3 linked regions of the Neodiprion lecontei genome follow. Each later gene encodes a partner of the first gene's protein in a complex. Links are inferred from orthologs where the notes say so. Each region holds a gene or a part of one and is shown on either strand. Other genes may lie near its edges. The genes, in order: ATP-dependent RNA helicase me31b, maternal protein exuperantia and GRB10-interacting GYF protein 2.

Evidence for each region.
Region 2: ATP-dependent RNA helicase me31b (region 1) and maternal protein exuperantia share a complex: the UniProt entries of both Drosophila melanogaster proteins name them as parts of the osk RNP complex. The link is inferred for Neodiprion lecontei from reciprocal best matches to the Drosophila melanogaster genes me31B and exu.
Region 3: the proteins of ATP-dependent RNA helicase me31b (region 1) and GRB10-interacting GYF protein 2 are in contact, whole or in part, in a crystal structure (PDB 6S8R), measured with the Drosophila melanogaster proteins. The link is inferred for Neodiprion lecontei from reciprocal best matches to the Drosophila melanogaster genes me31B and Gyf. Residues at the interface, in NP_523533.2 of Drosophila melanogaster: Tyr274, Ala275, Phe276, Val277, Glu279, Arg280, Gln281, Lys282, Val283, His284, Cys285, Thr288, Leu289, Ser304, Thr305, Gln306, Arg307, Leu310, Leu311, Lys314, Glu317, Leu318, Phe370, Pro420, Ile421, Lys423; in NP_001162827.1 of Drosophila melanogaster: Glu344, Asn345, Pro347, Glu348, Trp349, Ala350, Ile351, Glu352, Pro354, Ser355, Lys356, Leu357, Gly358, Gly359, Ser360, Phe361, Asp362, Ala363, Ser364, Gly365, Ala366, Phe367, Gly369.

What each region holds. Positions count from the first base shown.
Region 1 is NC_060261.1:14,906,199-14,912,410, forward strand, and holds the start of ATP-dependent RNA helicase me31b, read right to left. Parts: upstream 3,590-6,212; 5' UTR 3,203-3,589; intron 1,615-3,202; 5' UTR 1,586-1,614; coding exon 1,445-1,585; intron 1,043-1,444; coding exon 836-1,042; intron 763-835; coding exon 591-762; intron 347-590; coding exon 196-346; intron 100-195; coding exon 1-99. Other genes in the region: zinc finger protein 2, read left to right, coding at 4,874-4,934, 5,437-6,124. UniProt on the Drosophila melanogaster protein: ATP-dependent RNA helicase which is a core component of a variety of ribonucleoprotein complexes (RNPs) that play critical roles in translational repression and mRNA decapping during embryogenesis, oogenesis, neurogenesis and neurotransmission.
Region 2 is NC_060266.1:19,232,564-19,241,361, forward strand, and holds maternal protein exuperantia, read left to right. Parts: upstream 1-2,739; 5' UTR 2,740-2,923; intron 2,924-3,103; exon of another isoform or gene 3,104-3,350; intron 3,351-3,630; 5' UTR 3,631-3,656; coding exon 3,657-3,950; intron 3,951-4,356; coding exon 4,357-4,638; intron 4,639-4,826; coding exon 4,827-5,022; intron 5,023-5,798; coding exon 5,799-5,941; intron 5,942-6,353; coding exon 6,354-6,683; 3' UTR 6,684-7,518; downstream 7,519-8,798. Other genes in the region: m7GpppX diphosphatase, read right to left, coding at 7,836-8,008, 8,080-8,422. UniProt on the Drosophila melanogaster protein: Ensures the proper localization of the mRNA of the bicoid gene to the anterior regions of the oocyte thus playing a fundamental role in the establishment of the polarity of the oocyte. May bind the bcd mRNA.
Region 3 is NC_060263.1:40,977,942-40,984,263, forward strand, and holds the start of GRB10-interacting GYF protein 2, read right to left. Parts: upstream 3,759-6,322; 5' UTR 3,574-3,758; intron 2,902-3,573; 5' UTR 2,889-2,901; coding exon 2,857-2,888; intron 2,055-2,856; coding exon 1,823-2,054; coding exon of another isoform or gene 1,814-1,822; intron 71-1,813; coding exon 1-70. Other genes in the region: transcription initiation factor TFIID subunit 10, read right to left, coding at 4,552-4,753, 4,844-4,908, 4,974-5,093; uncharacterized protein C1orf50 homolog, read left to right, coding at 5,852-5,912, 6,027-6,139.

The sequences.
Region 1 (6,212 bases):
TTAATTTCATATGGGTCCCTCAGATGCTTTTCCATGAATTGCTTTACGGTTAGGGGAAATGTAGCAGAGTATAATAGAATCTGACGTTCTTGTGGTAATCTATAAACACAGATGTAAAGAATTTTGTAATTTTCGTTTCTAGTTGAATCCAGAAAAACCAAAATGCGATTGGACCACATTTGCAACAGTTTATACCTGGATATAACGTGATCCAGCATCCCCTTAAAGTCTTGGGATAGAAGCTTGTCAGCTTCATCCAATACAAGGATTCTGCAGTGATCCATATTTGCAACATTTTTATCCATCAGATCAAGGATACGTCCCGGTGTCGCAATGATTACTTGCACTGGAAAAGTACATTTCAATAAGTGCGTATAAATTAGGAATCTTAAGAAGGAAATTCATCTACAATCAACAAAAGCAATCTAATACATTGGGTCTGAATGTATGAGAATGGCGTAATTGGGTAAATCGACAAAACAGAACAATGTACAAGACCAATTCTGTTTCAACTTCTATTAGAGAAGATGAACAAGCCCTGGTTGTCAACAGATTTCCAGACTATTACGGACTATTCAACAAACGCTAACCTTTTTGGTAAATCCTCATAATGTCGTCGCGCAGATTAGTTCCTCCAGTGGTAACCATGACCTTGACGTCCATGTGTTTTGCAAGTTCAATGCATATCTGTGATGTCTGCAGAGCCAATTCTCTAGTAGGAACTATCACTAATGCTTGAATAACATCTTTACGTGGATCCACCTGCAAGATGCAATAATTAAAGTAGTGAAATTCGAACAACTTTCTATATGTCTCTTTGTTTATCTTTTCCTACCTGTTCTAATACAGGAATTGAATATGCACCAGTCTTGCCTGTACCATTTTTAGCTCGTGCAAGTACATCTTTGCCAGAAAGAGCTATGGGGATACTTGCTTCTTGTATCGGGGATGGCTTTTCCCATCCCTTCTCAAAAATTCCCATCAACAATTCACGCTTTAAGCAGAATTCCTCGAATTCATTTCCACGTGTGTCCGTAACATCCTATGATGTACAAAAAAAAAGTCTTGTAGCTTTGATTTGCATCACAAGTAATGCCTGATTATATTAGTTTAGGAGAAAATTTTTCAACTGCTAATAGTTCAAAATGTTTATGAAGAAAGTAATCTAATGTTATAATTAGTGTGTTATTCCTCAATTTTATGTATTCTTGAAGGAATTTTAGGAGATTGGTGTATCATTCACTAGCCAAAATAAATTTTTTTTATCAAGGTCTAATTTTACATCATTTTCCAATTGTCAGACACTAAGATTGATTACAACCGTTTCCATATTCCTAGTAATTTTATGAACCATGATTCTGAATGAGCACTGTTGGCATTACCAAATCAATTTAAGTGTCTTTACAACAGCTATTATCTTGAATTTTAGTTTAGTTTGACTCACACTTGTTTTGATGCGTTTGTCTTTGGGCGGAATTTTCAGTTTTGCTTTCCAACCTATATCGTCCATCTTTTCTAGATCACCTTTTGGACCCAAGCCGGAATTCAGCATGTGATTAGAATTAATATGAGTTTCGGTCATCATATCGTAGGCTTTAGAGTGTCTCAAATTTCCTGAAAGACAGAATTCAAGATGAAATTATAATCATAATCCACTTTATTTGTATACCCCGGATCCTAAACCTCGGAAGTTCACATCTTCATTTCCTTACTATTTTCATCAACCTGTTACAAACATTTATGAAAGTTATGCCTGTAATAGGAACTGTTAATTTCAGAATGAAATTCAACAATACAAAAAATAGAAATTGAAGATGACACACGGAACAATAAGCCTTGTGAAACATGAAATAACCGTACATTCTGCGAATTTTATCGAAACATTGCAGCTATCTACAGTAGGCGTTATCAGCAGGACGTGTACTTGACAATGGCTTTAAAAGAATAACAATATTCACAATCAACGTGAAAAATTCAGAGTACAAGGAGTTCATTTTAACACCAAGTGTAAATTTTAATTCAACAAATATGTGTAGACTAGCTGAAAATATTTGGCACGAGGTTGATATAAATTTAATCGTATTACCAAAACAACTATATAATTACAAAAGAAACTAAATCAAAAAATGAAGCAGCTCATGATAGAAATAAAGTAAGATAGAAATAAAAGGGAGGGAATGTGCAAGAGAGCTCGAATGGCAAGAGAAAAGAAGGGAGAAACAATTCTCAATATATAAGATTCATGTATTGCAAAAGACCGTGATCATAAATGTCTGAATGTATGGCAAAACAAAGAAAAGCTAAGGTGTGTATAGCGCTAAGCTGTACTTTGAGCTACGAAAAAAAATTTCAAAACTGAACAAGAAATACACAAACTGTGAATACTAGTTCAATTCAAGGTACACATACGCTGTTGCTGAAAAAATGTGTTTATATTGTCAAGCTTCGCTGAGTACAAAGATCGAGCAGTCGGTTTGAAATGTACCTTGAACAGTACATGGCTGAACATATAAAATATAGCTGAATGATTTTCATAATTTTCAAATAAAATTTGAAATTTTTTCTTTTTAGATTGCCAATAACAAGTATATGATAATTTTATTACTCTCTACGCTTGATTCGATTGCCGTTATTTTACTATGTTTGAAAATGAACCGACTGTGCTTTTTTCGGTAAAAAAAATCATGTGGCTACAGGCCAGCTATTTGAGCAAATAAAAAACGATGAATATACCGATGTGTACGGTGTATCAACAAAACTGGTATATACATCCTCCATTATGAATTTACTAAGCCACCGCAGTGCCAAACGGGTGTATAAACGAGGCTTTATGCCATGCCAACCGAAGGTTTCTCTTCTTTTTCTCTTTTCGCTCAGAATTCTCTAAATATATAATCTAACCAAGCAAGATACGAGGTGTACACGTATAATCATGAATTGAAATATTTGTGTAGATGCTGATAACGGTGAGAAAAATTTCACCAAGTACTAACAATACGGAATAGAATATCGCGGGCGAAAATCTTATGCCAAGCTGGATCCATTGTACCGTAACTGGCGCAGAGTTCTTTGAACTTTGATTTATAAACCGAAATAAATAATTGATGAGTCCAAACAAGATGTATTATGAACTTAAGTCAGAAATGTGGCTCAAACTCCATAATACGGTTCATAGAATGAGGTGAGAGAAGGTGTATCTTACCTTCAAACTGATGGATATCGATGCTGAAACACAGCACTCGATTCGGAAACAACACGCCAAAATGGCCGTTCCAATGTCAACTTTTTATAATCTCGGCTGTGCGGCCTGGCTCCCTTCCGTGGCACAATAACCTTCTACTTTCGGATATATATTACACGGGATTGTATCACGACGCTACTGGTATATTGTTTTTACAATAACTTTAACAATGAACGCACTGCGTCAATTGCGAGCCAATAATTATTATCTTTGAATGTAACACGATGTGTGCCGTGAAAAGAATAAAAACACTTTCGGAACACAAGCGGTTGCCTTGTGGCGCTCGGTGCGTGGCGTTCCACGAAACCAGTAACAACAGAGTGAAAGATTATCGCTGCGACACCAGGGCCGTGTTCGAAAATTTACTGACAGTACCACGATCTTACATACAGGTCTGGTAACTCCAGCACTTTTGAGTGGTAGGGGGTGTCACCGTTAGTAAGGCACACGGTCTTGTTTCCTATCTATCCGCTAGGGGCGCCAGTGGCCCGGGGTATAATAAATATAGATATATACCGATAAGATGATCTGCTCGTCGAAGTTTTTGACAGTTCATAACTCAGTGTAAAGTGTGTAAACGGTGTAACAAATTCAGGATTGTTGATTCCGAAAAATCAGCTGTTCGGATCTGATTTATGATTGGCTCACCCCGAGGGGGCAGCGCTGCAGACGGCGAAGACGGGAACCACGGTTCTTCCTCATTATCTGAGTCATTCCCCACCCTACTAGTTTCCGGACCTGTATGTAAGACCGTGGACAGTACTGTCAGCAATCTTTCATCTCTTTTGCGCTGCCGAGTTCATGGACAGCTCTGTCTCTGCCCTAGGGAATTTTAAGTACTGGCAGTTCTCTCTGCTGTAGAGACCTAAAAATCAATGCCAGTTTTGCAGCATGGAGATCGGTCTCCTTCCTTCTTACTCCCTGTCCCAGCCTCACACGTTTCACAACATTTTAGAGATACTTCAAAGCACGCTTCAAAATTTATAGATCCGTGAAACACTAACTGATCCGTTGAGTCGAGTGAAATGAATCAAATTACTCGAGAGCGGAAGAAGAGATCAGCTGCCCAGTATTCGCTGGGCAGTGAAAGTAGTTTCATGATTTTTTTGCTCTACCAGATCGCCTGCTTACTCTGTCTCATTTCTAAGGAATTTTTAGGGTTGGAAATACCAAACTATTTTCGAACAAGCCCGGAAAAGTATACCTTGCGTAAATCTTTGTAACGCAAGCATCAAGCTTATGGGTAATTTGAATTCGTATCACCATACTAAAACACAAGTATCATGGCTCTTATTATTAGGTTACCATTTCGTAGACTGATGTACCAACTTCCGAGGTTACAGAGTTTGACGGGATTGATAATGACACATGACATGTCAATCAATGTCTCATCGTCACACTCGTGGGTACAGATTGTCTGGTGTTTCTTTTTTGCAACCTTCTCAATGCGGTCCGGGATTAATGTATCTATGGCCTTGAAGAAGAATATTTCGAAACACGCCAATAGTGGATCACTTGTTCAAATAAGTTTTCAGATTTATTACTCTACAGAAAATAGTGTATTTGACATAATTGCAATTTTTCAATACATTCCTTGATATTGTAAAAGAATAATAAACAAACGTAAACAACATGCCACACTGCCTGATTAAATCGATGACAAGATATCAGAAAACAAGTAATTTACATGACGGTATGTATCACTCAATATTGTTTTCATCTTTTATTTTGAAAAATTGTTTGCTTAATTGGTGCAAAATTTTGCTCGCCGATCATGTTCCAGTCGAGGTTTGTAAATGGTACATTTCTGTAACTCTTTACGTACAAAACCAACGCAACAGAAAACTTGGAGCAACGTCAAAATTCCACTCACCATTATTAAAGAGTAGGTGCAAATTTTCAGGGTTAAGTGGAGATCAATTTCCAGGGAAGAAATTATGCGATATGGGTAGCTAATTTTCCAGCTCAAACCCGCGAAATTTTCTCTAGCGCATTGCGTTTTCTTGATTATAGGTTATATCACCACTGTTTTCTTCATCAACAATGTTACTGTGCAATCGACCATTCGCGATAAGTTCCATTATGTTGTGAAAGATCCAATTTACCCTAATCATTTATAAGATCAGTGATGCTTAGCATCAATTGTTTCTTTTTTTTTCAACCCATTTTCAATAATATTCCACAATTTTTCGTAGAGAACGAACTTTCCGTGTCGTGGTTGCCGACAGTATCTGATATCAGAAAAAAAAATCAAAGCAAAGAAGTGTCTTCAAAGTCTATAAATATGTGGACTTGTCCAAGACTTTCAATCGTAACTCGATACAGCTTTAAGAAAGATAACAGCATGTTATGGAACACATCAATTCCGGAAGAACTAGGCCTGCAGTTAATAGATTCCGGTGAATCAGCCGACGTACTTTCAACGTCTACAGTCATTGCAAGCGCGCCGACGGTAACGAATTACCTGTGTGACTTGAACGCAAGGAAGAAAGTTTTCGATGCCGACAAAGAACTGATCGAAAGATGCGAGATTATAAAAATCAACGACGCACAAATAAACGCTGAGGGCGGGAAATGCTGTAAAAATGATAATCAATCATCCGACGGAAAGTGCGTCGACCCCGAGTCGGTCGATTTATCTCCCACAATGCGATTACCGGCTAGTAACACTTTGATCAAAGCGATAAGATTTTACGAAGAAGAAAGAGCGCCCTACTCGGATGTCGGAAACACGGAAACTTGGAAACGCATCAAAGCCTTGCACTACTGCCCGTATTGCCGGAAGAGCTTTGATCGACCTTGGGTACTGAAAGGCCATCTTCGACTTCATACCGGTGAAAGGCCGTTCGAGTGTCCGGTTTGCCAAAAATCATTTGCCGATCGGTGCGTAACAAATTCAAAATTCAATTACATCGGCAAATCTTCCAAATTTACAACCTTTGAGGTTTGCAGAATTGCTTTCACATAATAT
Region 2 (8,798 bases), on another chromosome or scaffold:
GATTATAATTCTTATTTCAATTTTGTTTATCCGCCGTTTCCAATTTTCTTGAAAATTCTGAAAAACTTCATTCTCATCGTGTATTTTATACTTGCATAATTCATTCATCTCAAATGAAACCCTGTCTCTGAAAGTGTAATTATATTTCCGATTGATTGCGGTGATATAATCAATGATGTAAAATAACTAAAAAATCAAAAACACAGGAGTTTGAATCGAATCAAAATACCCTTGAAAAACACAGCTACGTTCAGTATCGAAATCTAGTGATATTACAACAATTCTTGCTAAAAATTGCCAACTTTTACACAGACAACGGTTATAAACGTCGAGGAACAAACTAAAATTGATTATAACCAAAAAGGATATCCCAGGACGTCCATCCGTCACAGAGTTGCGCAGTGTATACCGTTAAATTAAAAACTAATTGGATTGCATGCCACCGCGGAGGGTATAACGGTTAGAATAGTTAAAATTAAATGGGATAATAAAACGAATGTCATATCGAGATAGAAGGGCGGGCAATCCATGATTGTTCGAAGGCAAATTGCGCCCCATTTATCAGCGTACCAAAATAGCGGGACTGCATTCAAACACGGGTGAAAATTTATTCGCATAATTCTGCCTTACACGTTACCGAAGAAAAAAAAATCTACAAAGAGCTTTTTCTCTATACGCTACATATTTTCTAATTATATTGACACGTTAAATCTGATTCTCTTATATTTTCTACATATTTTCAGGCCTACTATACAAAGCCATGACGTCACTTTATTGTTTCACCAATATCAAATTATCGCATTATTTGAAACAAAGTATAGAGCAAGTAACCATAATCAAAAGGCAATATAGTACTAGATTTTCTGGTCATAGGTACTAAACCAATTTACACTTTGTACCCAGAACTATATTTTTTATACATAGTTCAGAGCGAATCACACCTATTTTTTATTGTTTTTTTTTTTTTTTTTTTTTTAAATACATGAAGTACAATTGATTTTTGTGAGCTAAATTCTCGGTTTTAAGAATTTAGCTAGAGATGAAATTATACTTCAGGCTCTTTAACTGTCATTTGATTTGGCGTACAAAAACGTTTCATATACAATTACATATTGTGAAAATCAGTGCGGTGCCGAAATAAAATTATCATTCTGCCTAACGGCGGACGTTTTGATTCTGTGTGAAAGTTCGAATCCACCTGACGAACTTTGAGAATGAGAAAAAAAAAAAAAAAAAACAATGTTTTCCTCGACATCGTGAACCAGAAATTGTCGGTCGTTACTTCATGCAAAAAATTTGTTACCAAAAATATTGTTATCCACGTCAAATAACAAACATTAGTATAATATAAATATAAAAAAAAATTAGTTATAGTGTATACACGTATTGCAGAAAGAAACGGTTATGGTCTGCTCATACGAATAGAAAAAATATAATAATTATACGCTGCACTAGGAATTTCTCTCGGTGGGAAGATTCCTTTGTTTATGACGATGTAAAATTTAAGTACTCGCAAGGACTTTTTCTCGTCGATTCATAGTCAAACTAATATTTCTTTCACCTATGAAGGGGTATGACATCGGGGTATGCTTAGCGTCTCTTCCACGTACTTGACCTGCTTGTTTAGGCCATCGAAGAGGAGGAAATTTACGACCCTGAGGCGACGACACCCACCACTTTTCAGGCCTCTTCTAAGAACATGCCTCGAGCTCCTTGGACTTGGTCTATTTTATGGTGTTTTAAACTGAATCTGTTCACCGCGCTATTTTCCGGGCTAAGTGGAGTTTTCATATAACTCCATTAACGTGTTGAAACTTAACAGATGATGCCGAAAAGAAACTTCGCATCTTTAACTTGAAGATTTAACTGTCGAGAGGAATGACTTTTGTTATTGACATTCGTCTGCAAATTTTTATGAAAAATCATATCAAAACGATTCTCTCGGTAAACTCCATTTGACTTCTTATCAACCCTCTATATTATCAGACATAACAATATCTACAGAAATACTAAAATTTACTGAAACATTTTTCTTTGAAAAACCATTTGATTTTAAAACTGAAATTTTTTGCAACCGGGTAAAACTCTTCGGATATAATGGAGGACTGCAAGAATTCTGTTTTATCGCTCGTAAATGTCGCATATTTTACAAAATTATTTACTGCTTACATGTTATATTTTTCATAACGTTCTGGGGTTGGTTTTACGACAGCTTAGAAATGGAAATAATAATACATAAAGCGCGATTTCGTTATATTCATTTTCTATTGAATCCGTCCAACCTGTGATAAAAAAAAAAAATAATGACAGCGCTTGGATGATAAAGAAGAACTTTCGGACCGGCGCAATGTGAATCGAGCAAAAATTTGTACGGAAATTATCCGCCATAAAACGCAGCATAAGCAATATATCACAGACCAGAACGAAGCGGCAGCGTAGTCGGCCATGGTCCGAAATTAAACACCCACGGACTGTTCGGTTTATCCTAAACGGTCGAGAGTCGCGTAAGCTTGTGGGTTCCGATCTTTATTTATAAATTTGATTCATGCCGCGTCACGGCCACGTGACGCACTCGACGAAATTGAAGCGAGGATCGACACCTCAATCTCGATACTCGACGCACTTCAAGTGAATGCATCCGGCACGCGATTGGCCATTGCCGATGTGCCAGCGCTGCGATTAGTGGATGAAGAGCGCCTGCGCAACGCGGCGATTATACTCGCTTGCCACTTCGGTACACGTGCGCAGCTCTCATCGTGTATTTCGCTTTAGGAATCAGCAGACTATAGAGTCTAGAAGCCAGTGGGTGAGCAGTCGAGTGTCGTCAGGCAGCCTTTCCTGGAACCGAGATTACGCGCCGCACGTAACGCCGCAGAGCTCCGAGCCACCCTTCGCACCAGGATAAATTAAACTTAAGCCGAGGGTAAGTCCCTGCGATATAATAAGCCTCATTTAGGGCGGGGCCTTTCCGCCAGTTCGGCAAAGATGGTAGCCCTGACTGCCGGCCACGTGTGGATTCATTTTTGTCACCGAAAATCGAAAAAATCCCCGAGCGCTGTTCTGCCGGGTTCCGAGCATTCCCGGAACTTCGCCAAACTTCGCGCCGCATCAACAACGTGAACAAATGACTGGCTCGTCTCACAACGCAACGAGCATTTCCCTGTTCGCGATCTCTTCCGTCATCCGCGAGCCCCGCAAAATCGTGAAAATCTGTTCATTTTAATCTCACAGTTTTGACCCCGTTCATTTATTCCTTCGTCGACGTTTATCCGTTCATCTCTGCTAGTCCGGCGGCGATATCTCCGCCTACGAATAGGCGAGTCAACGAGGTATCGACGATTCCGATACACGTAAATACGGCCTTTTTATCCTTCTCTCTTGTTTACTATCTGATGAACCGAAAACAAAGACCTTTGTTTGAATTATCTCAAGCACACTACGCTAATCTGGAGGTTAATCCCGTTGTTGTGACAATGTCAAGTGCCAGGTTTTTTCACGCATTTTTTTTTTTCGTTTTTTGCCTGACAACGATTCTCACTAACACGAATTTCAGCATCATTTTTCCTTGTTCTTTCCGGTGTGACTCTTCCTGGCGTAATAATCAACTCTCCCATTTCCTCTGGGTTTCAGATAAGTGATATTGAGATACAGCAAATATGGTGTCGTCAACCGTAGTCGAGAATGGCGAAACAATCGCCCCGGTGGTAAGTTCGTCACCAGCTGTCGGCGTGCCGCCTGGTGATTATAGGCTCGTAGGATGGGACATGGACGCCACTGGCAGGAGACTGATCGACGAGATTTGCCAAATTGCCGGGTATACGCCGAGTTCCAGCTATGGCCAGTACGTCATGCCTTTCAAGGACCTCAATCCACCTGCCAGAAAGAGGCACAATATTAGAGTTGTTACCATCGGAAAATACCGAATGCTCAAGGACAACAAGACAAACAAGGTGATGATACCATAAATAGAGCAGTTACACTTATCCTTGTGCACATATTGTTTCTATTCATTTGCAGAGCAAACAGGAACTGTAATCCTCGCTGAATATTTTTATCTCACTTTCTCTACGCATCGTTGTTGATTTCGTTGATGGAAAAATTGAAAGAACTCAGATGATGCATTAACGATCTACTTCGGACCAGAATTTAACACCAATATCAATATATTACAATGTTTCATTTTTCTATCATCTTATCTAGTTTTTCTTTGCTGAGATTAGCATTAGTAAACAAACATTAGTAAATTTCATATCGTTGTAAAATCTGAAAATTTGCATTATTTGAAAAGTAGTAAATACGTTGCAACATGTTTTTCGATGCGGATAAATTTTTTTTTTTTTTCTGTCATTGTCACAGGTCCTAAAGACGAAAAGTGAGATATCTGCGCTGATAGATTTTATCACGTGGCTTGAGTCGGTCAAGGGAGATGCGGCCGATGGTGTGATTCTAGTTTATCATGAGCCACGCAAAGTCATACCTTCCATGCTGCTTGAATCGCTGAGGAAATTCAACCTTTTAGATCGATTCAAGCAAACCGTTAAGGGCTTCGCTAACGGGTTTAACGTTGCAGAGGTCAAATGCGCCGATACAGTACGCACATTTTCCCTACGCACATTATCGCGTGTTATGCTAGACAAGGTAAACCCTGCATTTTCTAATGCTGATTATAAAAACAATGATCATATCTGCAGATACAGATTTCAAAAACGCTAAGAATTTGATGATATCTTCCAATCATCCGTTAGTTTTCATGTAATCAACTAATTGGGAAAAGGAAAATTACGTCGATCTCTTAACTAATATCAATATCGTATTTGAATTCCAAGGAAGAAGAGTTAGACAACGCCGTTGATAGAGCGCGTCTAGCTCTCCAAGTCATACAGCACTTGAGCGCTGGTGAAGAAACTGCAAAGGGCGCCGAGAGTAGCGGAAGTGGTGATAGCGACGCCGCGACAAAAGGGACCATAGAACTAATAAGAGAATTCGTACAGCCAACGCATGTCGAAGAAAAGGAATTAGCTGGTACAAAAGCACAAAATTTCCCTACAGATATCTTTCATTGGTTAAGGATATAAGTTGATGGCTGAGAAGGTGGGTAAATTTTGAGAATTTATATCTCAAAAACCAATAATTCAATTCGATTGTTTTTATTCAAAAGTATGTAGATCAAACTTCATTTACATATTTTTGTCACTTGGATCAATTAATAGCCACCATTGTTATTGACAATAACATCAATGATTTGACTCTGTGACATGTTTTGCTTTGCCCACGATGTGTCAGAAACGGCTTAAACGATTTACCTCAAATTTTGAAACCGTATATTCTTGAATAGTTTATCCTGTTTGCAACAATCTGAAATTTTTTTCAACTAAATGGCAAGCGTTTGAAATTGTCATTAGATTTTTGCCGAAAATTTACCAGTATTTTATATAAGTAAGAAAAAAAAAGATGTTTAAACGTAAGTAGGAACTTTGCAAAGAGGATAAACTATCCAGGAATATTGTCTTCGAATTTGAAGTAAATAGGTCGAGCTGTTCTTGAGATATCTTGGGCACCACAAACATGTCGCCGGGCCAAACGGTCGACGTTATTTTCAAAAATACTTCAGCAAAACTCGATCTACTTAAACTTTTGAGTAAAACAAACCCCAAATGAATAGAATACTTGGTTGTCAAGACATAAATTCCCAAAGTTTACAAAATTTTTCAGTCCTACTTGTGATTAGTTTTTGAAAAGATGACCAAGGAAATAGATACATGATTGGAAAGAATTTGACAAATGTATTCGTGTTACAGGTTTGAAATTGGTCCTCAATCGTCAAAATAGTCTAAGACCTGTATTCGGAATGCTACTGCGCCAAAGTCGCCGCGAACGACAACATGCTAGCCTCTTACGCCGATTATTAGCCGAGGCTAATGTCGACTACGTAGAACTGCAGGTGAGTCATAATTTTAGGATTCAAATTTCTCACGAAATTTCGATAAGGAACTAATACGGTAATAGAAGTAAACCAACAATTTTCGAATTTCGATTTCTGGCTGTCTATTTGACCTCTTCGAATAAATTCTCTATAAATGTTAAACTTCTTCGATGAAATTATGCAAATTAACAAAAAATTCGATGCGACCAACTCGATTATATGCATGAATGCTTCATGGTCGCTCTTACTTTGCTGATAACTCAAGTTTTTGTACATTCTTATCAGTTTGTTGGTTCTACGCACATGTACCTTTTCTTTGACTGAGTCACATTGTTTTTGTTTGTAATCAACAGTCGAGTGAGAGCTTCTGAATTTTGTACCCACTAATGAGGTATCTCTTTAACTCGATTGTGATTTTCAATAATTTTAGGAAGTATGGTCGAACGAGAAAAGGGAGGGTTTGCAAAAATTAATAAAAGAGAAAGTAACAGGAGCGAAGGAAAATGAGGAAGAGGAACTGTTGGAGGTACTCGAGTGTCACTTTGACCCAGAAAAAAAGATGAAGCCGAAGTTAAGTGTAGAAAAAAAAGAAGGAAAGAAAGGAAATATTGGCAAAGGTGCAGTGGAATCTAAAGAGAACATCAAAAACGAATCCGCTACCGAGAGTCCAGATACAACAACAACAAGTTCTCCTTTGAAAGAGAAACTTGTACCCCAGGAAAATGCTGAGGTAAAAGCTTCGGATGTGAAATGCGAATAAAATCAAAATATCCTGATGCCAGTGCCTTATTTCAAATACAGAATGAACATTTTTGTTCTTGAATTTCCTACATTGGTATGATAATATTTAAAAACTAAGTGAAAATGTTGATAAAAAAAAAAGAAAAGATATACTAAGAAAAGAAAAACGGCAGATGAGGTTAGCTTGTTATAGAGTTTTATTTAGATTTCTCGTGATATTCGAACAGGTTTGTCAGTCCTGGAGACTACAATGTCCGGTTCGATTCATATAGTACTATATTATATTATATTATTTACTTTAGTTCGTCACAAAATGAACGTATTATTTTTTTCGTTTTTTTTTCTGTTTATTATCTACCGAGTTTATGTTGATTTATTTTTTTGTATTACTCAGTTTTCTATCTAAATAATAAGATTCGTTTAATCTCCTTGTGGAATTACGTTGGGGTCACAAAATTAACAAATAAATAAATAATCCCAATGTAAAAAATTTATACTTATATCGCACTTGATGATTGAATTATCGATTTATTGTTGTCATTATAAATACATTGGATAACTTCTGTGCATAACTAAAATTGCAATTATTTAATTTTTTTAATTTTTTAATTTTCTTTTTTTTTTTCTTTTTCTTTTTTTTTTCTTTTTCTTTAAAGTATAAACTGGCGGAACATTCATGCTGCGTCAATAAAAAAAACAAAGCAAAAAAAACGAAAAAACTACAAATAAAACGAGCAAAAAAATAATATAAACAAGGTGCATGATAATTACAGGATTACTAAAAGTAAATAAATGAAAAAATAAAAAAAAAACTTACTTAAATATTCACGACTTGAAAAGCAATGAGGATAATTGTTGATTAATTCATCATACCGTGCTAGTTACGTTAGGATCTCATTGTATTATTAATATAATTAAAAAAAAAAATGTTAATAAATATATAATTTTGCAATTGCATACTTATCATTATCAAACGATGCCACTTCAAATTTGAAACGAAAATAGGGAAACCATCGTTTTTCCCAACATTAAGTATCAAGTTCTACAGTGTATCATAAGACTAATAATTATGATAAAAATAGTGGTATGAACATTCACGATTGAAAGAGAAAAAATTTATTCACTATTATCTCTGCACGTGCCGTGTTTAAAGTACAAAGGAATCTTAGAACTATTTTTTCTCTACAGATTGTGAGGATAAAACTCCATGTGCTTGATATTTAGAAAACAAGGTCTCCGATTCTTTGACAACAAACGATAAAGTAGCTTTAGAATAATATTCTCCCATCAGTTCAATGTTGTTAATGACTGTGGACAGCAGATGAGCCTTTTCAGTGAATATACCTGTAAAAATGGGCGGACATAAATATTTGACAATACAAAGAAATACAGTGAAAGTGCAAGATAAGGTTTACCTGGAGCGTCATATTTCAAATATGTGAAATGAATGTGAAGATGATAAAACGAGGGTTGATAGTGAAAATAAATTCTAAGCTGCGATGCTGGAAGTCCGCTGTATTTCTTAGAAATTGCTTTTGTGCCGGCGTCGCGAATGTTCTTAAGCAACGGCAAATGCGATTGGTCCAAATCTCTAATTGATTTGATTCCCTTTAGCATCGGAATTGCCAAGAGGTACAAAGTTTCCAGACTTCCGTCCCATTTCAAATCTGGTATCAAAACAAAGCCTGTTTTTGGGTCTGGATCCTCAAAGACTATTCTTTCTTTCTCGGCCTTGTGCTCCAAAATGTTATACACCCACTGTAGACAAACATTAAGGGGTTAATATGAGTTAAACATTTGCTCAAGAAAGTGGTGCAATGAAAAAAATGATGAAAAGGTCAGCGCTGTAAGTAAAAAACATTATAACATTAATAACAACTTTAGAAAGATCACATTATTGCAATGATGTAGACGATGCTAAAACATTTTGTCCGTTCAATTTTCATGTATGAAAGATCAATTTGTGCATAAATGAGTTTTCTAAAAAAACACTCAAGACAGATTTGTTATAATAAAGCGTAAATTTACTGCTCGTGTAAAATGAACCCAACACTCATTTACATTACTGATGTTGCAGTGTTCGTTGCGTAACTTTCTTCCATTCATCAAAGGTCAACTAAAGTTATGTATTTAC
Region 3 (6,322 bases), on another chromosome or scaffold:
GTCCTCCACGATCAACGCTGCCCCCTCTCCCTCTGCCCCCATTGTTTGATAAACCACTATTCCAGGAGCGCTGAAATGACGGATACAGTCTATCAGAGCATTCCAACACTATTTTGGTAATCGGGTAAAGAATGTGAGAATAACGAAAGGATTTACTTTCGGTATTGGTTTTGTTAGCTGCATGATAGTCTACCGGAGTTGAGTAGAATGTACGCAATATTTTTTTTTTTTTTTTGGAGAAAGCGATTAATAATATACTTTTGTTTTGTTCCTATGTTTTTCAAACTCTTTAATCCAGAAACATGATCCAGTAGCGACAAGGGGCCGAGTAAGACTGAGTAGGATTTTGTTACAATGAAGTATTTAAATAGAATAGTCTCAAAAAGTCGATTTGAATATTTTTTCCTATGGCTCTGTATGTTGCAGAAGTTTCTAATAATACTGAGTCTTCGATATAGAACTGTGAACTCTTTAACGGTAGCAGTCAGCGGTTCACTATCACATTATCACTGATTTTATGTAATAAACTTACAAACGCTTCGTTGCTACAGAATAAAAATTGATCAACTTCGGCTACGGACATATCGATTACCGCAATAGAGATGAATCTTTTTCACGACAAGGGAAGGCCAAGCAATTGAAGTGCAGAGGCTTATACAAGCCAGGAAGTTTGGCGCAAGGGCTCCAGAGAGTGGCTGTATATTTTTAGAACACGACCAAGAATGACACAGTTCCCAATATAAGATACGACACTAATACAAGACGATACGAAAATATATGTATGTGCACATATTGAATCGCATTCTATCTCTTCTTACATTTTAGTCAAATATCGATCTATTCGAAATAAAAATATTCTTACATCTTCCAAGCCATGTAGCAGTATCCATAAAATCGTAATTTCAATTTTATCCAACCTACATTTTGTTTGCTCAAATACAAATACCGTGATTCAAAGTTCAAGGTCATATCGAGTTTGAAAATATTTAGCATCGTATATATATGCAAATGGAATGTTAAATATTACGTCACACATCATTATATGCATTAGAAGAATTCTTTTTACCAAATTCAATCTCATTGAACATTACATTTCTTACCATTTAACGCCATGTATCATTGTTGTTATTTTTTTTTTTTTTTTTTAACAAGTCATTTCGATGTTTTCTGTAAATGATTTTATCAAATTTTCCACAAGCACAGCAATATTTCATAGTATATGATGTGTGTGTGTGTGTGTGTGTGTGCGTGGGTGTATATATATTTAGTAGATATATTGACTTTTTGCATTGCAGAAACATGTTGATAAATATGGAAAATGTGCGCATATATATGTATATACATTTTCCATAATTATCACCATTTTTCTGTAATGAAAAAAGTTAATAGATCTACTTTTATTTATTATAATGAATCCAGGTTTTGCTTTGAATGAAACATAAGTTAAAGTTACACGAAGATTCTACTATTTACCCGTAAAGTTTAGTTGCTTACTTGTAAAATTTTTTCTAAAGTTATAACCATCAGACCGATTCAAGTTGTACTTGTACATTCCAAAAGACACAACACAACGAAGATAGATTTTCAAAAATGATAGCAAAGCAAATATTCCTAGTAAGCATATTGCAATGAGATGCATTGGCATGGTGTGTAACCTTAGTGTTTACTTTTTTTTCATTTCTGATTCTCAATTTCGAGAAGAGATTCTAACAGGAAACGAGTCATTGGGACAGAAAAGATGAGCAGGAAATAAGTTAGGTATATGTGCGGAATGAGCAGAAATTATCAAAAATATGATGATAGTAATAACAACCACATTTACCGCCTCTTCTTCTGTCATTGGTGTGAGTGCCAGCGGTTGTTGAGCTTGTATAATGTAGAGGGCAGGAAAAGAAGCGAGTGGTTCGGGTGCTTTATAATTCCGGTCAAACAGAGCTAACATCTCTTCTCGACCGTATCTATGCTCAGCTAGCTGGTAACGAGGGGTGGTCAGGATACTAGGCCCTCCCCCTCCTCCGCTGGTATTGCAACCGTCTCCTGACAAGTTGCGCAACCTGTACAACGGCAAAGTTTTGTCAGAGAGATGTGAGGAAAGGAAAAAACAGGGAAACAGAGAATAGCTCACCATGCAGACATTGATAACTATAACTTATGCGCTACATATATTATAAAATTGTGCGAGATTCAATTCTTTCTTCCTCTTTTAATCCTTTAGCTACTTTATTTATTATTTTTCAGATTCAGTTGTTCGTAATGATGCGACTAAAAGATTAAAGAAAAAAAGAAACTCGTTTTGTTACGCAAATGACAGAATATACTTTTTGACTTGATCGTGTTGTCTTTCATGGTACACAAAAATTTTGATTGTAAATATTTAAAAATTTCAGAGTATCTTATGAATTTTTTATGCTTTATTAGTTTTTAGTGGAAGTGGGTTTTAAAGTACTTTTCAGGTCTCTAACTGACTTTGCATAGTAAAAATGTCAAGTGTGAAATGCACTATCTTTTTATGATGAGTAAATACCTTTACTTTCGGCTTTTCAATAATGACAAAGTATAGTGTTATCTAAAAATCATCATATAAATGAAAGCAAATGTCAGACAATGGTGAAAGAAAGATTCATTTATAGTTATAAAACCATCGCTTCAAAATGAAATTTTTCACTTAGATTAATCAAATACCAATCACAAGATTATCAAAATTTTTTAAATGCCAAAGAATCTGTTTGCAGGATTTATTTCTTAAAATTGTATAAATGATAGTATCTCAAAATTTTAATGAAAATTTAGATTCTGAATGATAAAATCTGCTGCCAAATCATAACGCCAGCGAAATTTTTTTAGGGAATAACTTACCACTCTGGACCAAATCTCATTGATTCCGTCATCTCGCAAAGTTAGCTGAAAAATTAAATAAAGTAGCATGAATACATGTATTTGTTTGGCACAAACGGTCAGCAAAGAAAAAATACAATAGTAAATAATAAATAACAGTCTTTATCCGGATTTTAAAAATATAATATTTAACTGTTACTTCACGTTTTGAGAATTTTTATTCAATTTCTGTTTTACTTACACCCTGGACATTCGATAACGCGGTTAAAGCTCGAGTAATTCGCGTATAGGGATGATTTCGCGTTTGAAAGGATTGATGAATTAGAACACGAAACAGATGATTTAGAATATACCTAGAATATACAATAGATGCAACAGACTGGAGAACGTAGAGGAGCCGAAATTAGCGTCACGAAAGTGTCGAGCAGCGGGAAATGAAACTGCGATATCGTTGCGCGGAAAGGAACGAATACCAGAATCGAAAGACGCGAAAACAGAAATATTCTTCCCGTTTATTTACGACATATTTTTTGACGGAGCAGAATCTACGTAGGTATGTATGCATGTAGTATCCCACAGCAGCCAAGGTGGCAATATTAACCAAACTTTTTTCGATTGTAGAAATCACGATATGCCACCGGATCATCATATTCTTTGATAAAAGTTTGTCACCAATGCTTTTGTTGCAATATTTCACTGCCAGTAGCGTCTAGTTTGCTATATAAATTATTGAAATACCTTATTGGGGTTCGGAATTATTGGGCGAATGAAACAACACACCAATATGGCCGATGGGTTTTTTGAGATAGAACGCTGAACGCATGCGTAGTGTTTTTTGTCACGTGATCAGAGATTTAAAGCCAAACCCAAATCCCCGTACAAGGCGCCACTTGTACGAAAGTGGAAGACCTCGGAAGATCTTTTGCTTCCTGCTTTTAAAAAGTACCTTTTATTTGCCTAAACGGAAGTTTTGAAGAAAAAACTGCAGATTGGCTGACCTTTGAATACCGAGTCGTTACCGAGTTCTTCAACTCTTTTGTTTTCGAAATGTGGCAAGTAAAATAAACCCAGACATAGGAACTCATTTCAACCCGACTCCGGTTTGTTTATCAATTTTTTTTTGACAGATTATATCATCAATTTTAATCCTTCCACTTACTTATGTCCTAATGTACGTTACAACTGTGACGAAAATATCGGTCTGATATATTACTTTCCAACACAGACATTCATTTCAACCGACCAAGTTATTTTACCGTTCCGACTCTTTGACTTAACCGACTCCTGATTAAAGCCATATATGGTTAAAGCTGGCTGTAAAAATTAGGAAAAATTTAAGAAAGTTTCAACTGATACCGACAGATTTACGGATTATGTTTTGAAATCGAAAACAGCTATTATTTTCATCGTATCGATTTGTAGTACTATAAATCTGAATGGTAATTAATTTCTCTTTGCAATTGTGTCTAAAGGGTAAGAAAGAGACTCTTATATTTTAAGACAGTTTATTCAAAGGGATTTTAAGTCGTTACAAAGAATAGTAACAATAAAACGTTCTTTTTTCCAGATCTGTGCAACCGGCTATTTAAGAGTGAATCATTTGAGCTTAAGCAAACTGCATGAAAGAATTTTTTTAGAAATCCACACCTTTGAGAAGTCATTCAGATACAGTATAGAATTAAGTTTCTCTCTGATAAAGGGACTCATTATTATAAATCAGACAAAGTAGTGCGGCTTCTTGACCACTATGCCATATTCAGCAACAGCTGGTGTCAGGTCTTCCATTGTTAACGTGTAGCGGCGATCCTTTCCTTTCGTCTTAGTATTTTGATTTGCTCCTCTCGTCTTACAGTGCTGTAACGCATCGTTAGCTATTTCAGAGATGAACTTTTGAGCTGCTAACGAAACTAACCTGACACTAAAACAAGGAGAATAGAATTGTTCCATGAGCAATTACAAACCAATAAATAATAAAATATCTATCGAATAATTCTCGTTTTACTCTTACATTCTTGGATCAGTCGTGTTGAAACCAGCTGTATGGAGATAGTGAGCACTGATCGCATCTGGAACCTGAAATAAACTGCTTGTTTTACAAAGATATAACTTCTTCCAATATCATAGAGCGACTTACGTACAGTCGGAGTATAATCTTCAAGTTGCAGTAGAAAATCGGATAAAGGTTGCCCAGCTGATCGAGGTTCTTCGTTAGTTCCCGAATATATCGGAGGTGTGTCTCGTCCGTAACCTTCTGCCATTTCCGTAATTCAGATTTCGTTAAATCTGAGCCGCTGCAATTTCTCTAGTAACGAACGATGTTTCGATTTCTCGTAAAAACGGTTACAAGTTGTGGCTTTAGTAGCATGAAATTATTTCTAGAGGGTAAGATTATCGTGGATAGATGAAAAAGGTTAATTTAGATGTAAATAAATATTGCAATCCCTCTCTCTGGCAGTACAATAAGCAGAGAGAAACCTTCGAAAACTCCAGACTAACGACAAAATCACTAAATTGGCGACACTGAGTGTCGCTCGTGGGTAGTGAGTGAAGTTGGCGGCAGATCAACGCATCTCGAATCTCTGGAAGCACTTCTGCACTTAGCACTTTAACAGACGACCACGACATTACCGATCGGGGGAATGAAGACATTACCGATGACTCAAGCACAAAATAATTACTTATCCGTAGTGAATATATGAAAATAAGAGTTGTTCGACGAATCCTTAGATAAGATTTGTCACATCTTAGTTGGAATTAGTGGTTGGAAGGCCCCGACATTTTATGAAATACGCGAGTGCGTTCAGTACAGATATTTTCATTTGAGGTTAAGATTTTCAGCACATGCGGTAAAAATCAGTCGCTGAGAACTTGCGGCCGGAAATTGTTTTTTTTTTTTCACATGTTAATTTTGTGTATTTATCGCGCCACTTTTGCTTTTAATTATTTCGTGAACAATAATCACAATAGTTATTATCACTCTATATGATCTTTTCTATTTTTATATTCCGCTGAACGCATGAAACGTGTTCACGCCGCGATGGAGCTAGAAAATTATAGTAATATTCCGTCGTCCAAAGGTATGCAAATATTTACATGACATCAATTCCATCAGTAATATATAATATAAAAATATGTTTTTTCAAGTCATGGGAATCATATTTTCTATAGCTGCGTCATTCTTTACTGTGCAGTTCGTCTTGTGGAACGAAATGTTACGCCTCAAGGAGTTACATTGGTTAATCCATCGGCTATTGCAAAAAAAGCACCGAATGATTTAGTGATGCTCGCTCTGGAGATACAAAAAGTAATTTAATCTATTCATGTCATATCATCATAATTTGTTGTTGAATCATTTTGCTTTGCAAAATATGTCCAGCATTACAATAGTGAATATTTACTACATTTCACATCGATGTTAAAGATACATTATTCAAAAAAAGGCGCTAATTAGAATACGATCAATATTCTGTGTAATAATTTATGTATG